Linked DNA regions of Mus musculus. The protein of the gene in region 1 purifies or fractionates together with the protein of each later gene. This does not show direct contact. Links are inferred from orthologs where the notes say so. Each region holds a gene or a part of one and is shown on either strand. Other genes may lie near its edges.

Region 1 (4,172 bases):
ACACAGTTATGCACCCCATTGGTGATGTAGGGTCACACAGGTGGCCCAAGTTAAACCCTGTGGGTATAAAAAAAATAATAATAATAATAAAAAGAAGCAAAAACCCAACAAACTAATGTATAAAGGAAGGAGTGTTGTAAGGAAGAGGCAGGAGGAAAATGTGTGTGTGTGTATTTTGTGGGAGAGGACCAAAATGCATTATATACTTGTATGAAACTTCCAAAGGACAAAGCAGATTACTAATAAAAAGAATCTACAACAGTAAACAAGAAACTAGTCACTGTAATCTATTTGGAGAATTGTTAACTGGAGCAGGAAACATTTTTATGCTACAATATTTTACATTATGATTTTAAATTCATGTGTGAGTGTCTGCATGCCACTACATTATTGTGAAGGACATCGTCTGATATCAGACCTCTTGTTCCAGGCTCTGTTTGTTGTTTCACCTGCAGTGTGCAGCAGGCTAGCAGGCCTGTGAGCTTTAGAGGTGCTCCGTTTTTCTGCCTCTCATCCAGGAAGGCTGGGATACACAAATTCCAGGGATCCAAACTTGGGTTCTCAGGCAGTCACAGCTAGCAATTTACATATTAAATCATCTCCCCAGCCCTATGTTTGTTTGAAGCACATTTTCATATAGATGTATTTCCTTTTTATTTAAAGGAGAAAAAAAAAAGATGGCTCTTTCTATAGTGACACTTTCTATAGTATAGGACCTGGTTAGAATGTGGGTTTGTTGAACTACCTCTGATAGGTATTGAGGAGGTCCACATAAGCTTTCAGAGCTAAGGGACCAAAAAGCTTTTGTTAATAAATGATGTCTATTTAATTCTTCAGAGGGTGCAAGTAAATCAGAATAGGCAAGCAAAAACTGACATCAGGCTTCAGCCCTTTCCTTCAACATGAGATTTGTATGGAAATTCCAACTTTGGGGGTAATGCCTTGGCAATCTGATGGCTCCTTCCAGGATGGTTATACCACTTCTCAGTGAAGACAATAAAGTCACTATTGATCTGGGATGGATTTCAAGGACAATAATACAAGTGAGAAAGGTGATCTCACATGTGTTATTGTATGATTCCATTTATATAATATGATGACAAAATAATACAGGGATGAGACAGATTCCTTGTTACCAGGAGTTAGGTGTAATACAGGAGGGCGTGAGTGTCGTTCAGGAGACAGTGCTAGCTAGAGCTTGAGACAGAGCAGTTATGCTGGGGTATACAGAGATCACACACATACTAAGGTAGACAGGGAACTTACTAGGTAGCCACAGGCTGGCTTCTAACTTGCCATCTTGCTGTCTTTGTCTCTAGAGTGCTGTTTTTGCAGGTGTGAGTTGCCTTGTTTTGGTATTGCATAGTTACATTAATATGTGGTCATTGGGGGAACTGGGTGAGGGATACAGAGAAAGAGGACACATCTGTTGTGTACTTGTAACTTTACATGAAACTCTGCTTTAAAATTAAAGGGAAGCAGAGGCAGGTAGATCTCTGGAGTTCAAGGCCAGCCTGGTCTACACAGTGAGTTCTAAGATAACCAGGGCTACACAGAGAAACTCTGTCTCCATCCAGCCCCCACAAAGTCCCACTGAACTTATTGGAAATTGTTCCTACATTATATTTCAGTTGGTTGATGTAAAATAAAATATTTATATGTTGTATGTAAAAAAAGCATAAATCATCTCTTGGCATTTGCCATATATATTTATTCAGACAATGGTTTGGATAAAGGTGGAATGAAATGTTATGTACAAAAATGTGACATGCAGCTGAAATGAATTTAACATGCTTCAAGATTGTAGCAGGGGTAGATATTTATCAGCAGTCAGGATGGTTCGGCGGGTCCCTACTTCAGCATGATCACATAAGTCTAGGGTGCCTTTACAATACTTTCAATAACAATGAAAAAAGGAGCAAGGCTGGAAAGTTGCAAAAGAGAGAAAGTAAAATGCATTGGGGGGAAATGAATGTTTTTCAGACTGAATTTTAGAAAAAAGAGCAGAGAGGAGTGGGTGGCTCAGAAAAGACACTATGTGCTTAGTAACTAGAGTGTCATAGGTATATTTAAATTTTCTACATGTGCTGTTTTTTGTTTTATGTTTTTTGTTTTTTTTCCCTAGAATAATAACGAAGTCTTTGGAAATACTGCACCACTGCCGCTGTGCTCCGTGCATCCTCTGTGCGCCTAACAGAGGAGGTTGGCCCTGTGGCCATGGGAGAGAAGGGTCACCTGAGCCGGGTGTTGTTGGAATGCAGTCTCAGTGACAAGCTGTGTGGTAAATGCAGATACCACATCTGCCTGTAACCGGATGCCAGAACAATAGAGACTGATTTCTGGATGTTTCTACAGGAGGAGGGTGGTTTCACTTCTAGTGGAAATGAATAGGGGGTGGAAGGCATCATTTTTATAGGGTGAGGGTGACATGCCAATCAGAAATAACAAAAAAAGATCCTTGATGGTCTAAACCACAGGGTTAGTGTCTGGTTAAGGTTGGCCTCCATGGGTCTCCATTGAAGGGAATGAAGAGAACTCAGGAGCACTGAGGCATGCTGGGTAGGGGGAACTGTGGCAGGATTCTTACTTCTATCCCCATTTATGGCCTACACAGTTGTCCGAGAGAAGCAGTATGAAGTAATCATTGTTCCGGCTCTCCTGGTTGGCGGCTTTCTCATCCTTCTTGCAATCATCCTGTGGCTTTTTATCAGAGGACAGAGATCCCAAAGGCAGAGCCCTGGACCCCGAGGTAAGGCTCAAACTCTAGGGGTAGGCATGGGTTCAGGGACGATTGATTTTAAGAAAATCATAACCCAGGTTTTCAATAGGCCCATCCCATAGTCAGATCTTACAAATGATAAGCCCAAGCCGCTCAATATCTCTCATGTCCAATGATTTTCTCTCTACCTGATCCCAACTCTATAGTGACCTAGTTTTCCCTTGATAACACAGAATAATCCATGAAGGCCTTGATTGGTCTCTCAGCTCATATATTTTAAAGCCCTCCATCAGTTCGCTGTGTTTCACAGAAGAGAATATAGTAAGGTTCTTCCTAGGGCCCTGTATGATCTGGCCCCTCTGTCTTCCACATCTGTCCAGCCATCCCACTTGGCTCCCTCTGTACTGCCTTCTTTGCTGCTCCTTAAACATCCTAAGTGTATCCTTCTCTTAGTGCCTTCATACATCTTGTTCCATGTGCTACAGTGTCATCATGGTTTGCTCTGTAATTGCTTCTAGGTCTTTATTAAATGTTACCCTATCTAAAAGGCCTATATTTGGCATCTATAGATAAAATAGTATCTCCTCTTGCTATTTCCCCTCCTAACACACTGTCTCATTCATTCTTAATGCTATATGCTCTATGATTGAAAACTAATCTTAGGTAGATCTGAACTTTGTCTATCCTCAACTCAGAGAGTGCATATGGTATATGGTGATATTTACTGAACAGATTGATTGATTAACAAATTATTAGAAATACCAGAAGGAAACTTTCTTAGCCAGTTGTAATGGTAGCTGTGGATGGAAGGTAGTCTCAGAAGATCTTTTGACTATGATTCATGAGAATATAAAATGATTCCACATTTGAGAGCAACCTGAAGAAAGAAAAACTACAGCTTATGGATATAATTTTGGAAGTCATATGACTGACTTAAAGGCTATCCCTGCTGGTAGTAACTGCAATATTTTGGTACCTGTGGTGTGGATTTCGTTTTAGAACTGTCCTGTCTTGGTGCTATACCCATGGGGAACACTGAAGATAATCCCAAGGATTATTAAAAAAAAATGACCACTTTCAAGGGCTTCATCTTTAGTTTTCTACAAGGAATGAAATTATTATGACCATTGTAAAGCTCAGTGTTGGTATTCATTCACTGAGAAGCATCAGAAGATGTCCTTGTATTAGTTGTAGAGAAATTTTCCTAGCCACTTTATTCAATCTGCTTTTCTGGTGTCCCCAGGGCAGGGGCAGTTGATGGACATTACCTCTTTGTTCTAGGCACTGCCTCTGTACCTGCATCTAGGGGCAGAAGCCAGGAGGCAGCAGGACATGGAGAAAAAGTACTTCTGCCTCTTAAGGAGACCTCAGTGGAGGGCTTTCTGCGAGCGGCCACACCCCGCCTGGCTAAGCTGCAGGTGCCCAGGGAACAGCTCTTGGAGGTTCTGGAGCA
Region 2 (2,320 bases), on another chromosome or scaffold:
CAGCAATAGGCGGCTGAAGCGGTCCCCAAAGCACTGGTCCCGCGTGGGGTCTGCGAGTGAATGGGGGTCAGTATTGGTCAGAGAGGCCAGGAAGCCCTCGGCAGCTGAGCCATCCTTGGCCCAGCCCCAGCCTGCCAGAGCGCCCAGCCTGCCTTACCTAGGGTGACCACCATGACAGGAATGCTCAGACGCTGGCGTGTGGCTTGGGATAGCCGCAGGAAGCCATATTCCAGTGAGTACTCCACAATGTACTCATCCTGTGGCCACACTGCAGACAGGGACAGAGTGGTCAGCTGGGCTGGTCCCATGCTCAGCATGGCCTCAGAACCCTCCCTGCCTGGGCTGCACACCTTTTGCTGGCGTCTCAGGAAAAGGGAAGTCCTGGCTGTCGTTCAGGGCATCTGCACCGCTCTGTGGCTTGAACACCTTGGGCTCAATGTCCAGCTCAAACTGCAGGCACAGGGGAGCACGGTGTCAGTGGAGCCTGCAGGAGGCAGCCTGATGATGTTCCACTGGGTGGATGACCTCAAGCCCACATGCCCAGAACGCGCTCACCTTGATGGAGCTGTTGGTGAACATCTCCACTGTGAGCTCCTCCTCCTCCAGCTCCAGGCCCCCGGGTTCCAGCTCCAGGCCACCGAGGCCCCCATCACAGAACTGCAGGATCACCGGTGCCCGGCTCGAGTTGTGGCGCACCTCCACCCGCAGGACACCCTCCCGCGGCCATCGATCTCGAACATGCTCTAAGCAGTTGATGGGGGACCGGGAGAAGACGATGTGTATGTAGGCGAGGACGAAAAGCACAAACAGGGCCTAGGGGTGAGGGGGGTGGGGTGAGCAGTCAGCAGGGCGGGGGACACACCCCTCCCAGGCAGGAGAAGCAATGGCTGCCTGTGCCTCCTTGGGAACTAGCTGGCTGAGGGTCCCCACTGCAAGGGTTCCCTGTACCACCACCCTCCAGCTGTCTCATGACCTTCAGGCCCAGCAGGTGCTCCAACGCAAAGCTGCCTTTAGGGGACCCTTGATCTCACTGGCTAAGAATAGCCACTGTCCCTAGGGAAGCACCCTCTGCCCTGCTCCTGGGGCTGGCAGAAGCCACAAGGACACAGCTGATCGGCCCTGGTAGGGCCCAGGCACCTCAGCAGGACCAGGCTACCCTGCCTGGGAAATGTGGCTTCATCTAGAAAAGGCGCATCCAGGAGAGCCAGGGCATGTTAAGAACATGAGTGGCTCACCACTGGGTGGCTCCTGGCGTGAACTCTGCTCAGCACCCTGGAGGTTTTAGGATGCCCTGCTGATGCTGACCCAGCCACACATATTCAAGTACATTTAAAAGGGGTGGGGGAGGGAATGTGGGCCATCAGATGGCTCATTTGATAAAGGAGCTTGCCAGGAAGCCTGAGAAGCTGAGGTCAATCCTCAGGCCATACATGTAAGGTGCAGGAGCAATCTGACAGCTGCAAACTGTTCTGACTTCTACACACATGTGGGATACATGCCCCACACATATATGAATACACACATAACAAAATAAGTATGTTTGTTTGTTTTCAAGACAGTGTCTGTGTAGACAAGTCTGGCCTTGAACTTGTTCTGTAGACCAGGCTGGCTTTGAACTCAGAGATTCCCCCTCCCTCTGACTCTGGAATTGAAGGCATGCATCAACTATTAATATTACTTATTAATCTCAAACGCCCCTATGCTGGAGCAGAGTTACTCAAGGGGTCCCAGCCTCTGGGAACACCCTTCTCTTTTCCTGCTCAGTGTGTGGGTGGCTATGTGTCTGTGTGTAGGGGGGTCGCCTAATTCAGTGGTACCTGTGGGTCGCAACCCCTTCAGGGGTTGCCTAAGACCACTGGAAAACACAGATGTTTACATTACAATTAATAATAGCAAAATTAGTTATGAAGTAGGAATAGAAACTATGGTTGGGGGTCACCATGACATGAAGAACTGTATTAATGGGTTGCAGTATCAGGAAGGGTGAGAACCGCTCGCTGCCCTAACCCATGCTGAGTGGAAGCAGGGATGTCGTGCAACACTTGCAGACAGCACATGCGCACCATGAGCACTGGGCTGAAAGAGACCCAGTACTCCATGTAGCTGTCTAGGGTCACCCTCCTCTGTGGCCCCAACTGACACCCTAGCTTCCCACCATGTCTCTGCTGGCCAGCATAGGACCCTGGCCCAATAAGGTGCCCAACATAGAGTAGGGTGATGGGACTCATGAGGTCCTTACATCCCGGCACACCCACTGTGTGCACTCACATCCCTGCACCCTTCAGGGACGAGACTGGATTCCCAGACCACAGTCCTAAGG

The links. The genes of interacting proteins can lie anywhere in the genome.
Region 2: the proteins of Styk1 (region 1) and Tmem259 purify together in Homo sapiens (affinity purification with mass spectrometry; 3 studies listed by BioGRID and IntAct, with this or other methods). This does not show direct contact. The link is inferred for Mus musculus from reciprocal best matches to the Homo sapiens genes STYK1 and TMEM259.

What each region holds. Positions count from the first base shown.
Region 1 is NC_000072.6:131,311,028-131,315,199, reverse strand, and holds the start of Styk1 (tyrosine-protein kinase STYK1), read left to right. Parts: upstream 1-1,372; 5' UTR 1,373-2,217; coding exon 2,218-2,281; intron 2,282-2,614; coding exon 2,615-2,749; intron 2,750-4,000; coding exon 4,001-4,172. UniProt on the Homo sapiens protein: Probable tyrosine protein-kinase, which has strong transforming capabilities on a variety of cell lines. When overexpressed, it can also induce tumor cell invasion as well as metastasis in distant organs.
Region 2 is NC_000076.6:79,978,941-79,981,260, forward strand, and holds part of Tmem259 (membralin), read right to left. Parts: intron 814-2,320; coding exon 556-813; intron 451-555; coding exon 351-450; intron 269-350; coding exon 158-268; intron 51-157; coding exon 1-50. UniProt on the Homo sapiens protein: May have a role in the ERAD pathway required for clearance of misfolded proteins in the endoplasmic reticulum (ER). Promotes survival of motor neurons, probably by protecting against ER stress.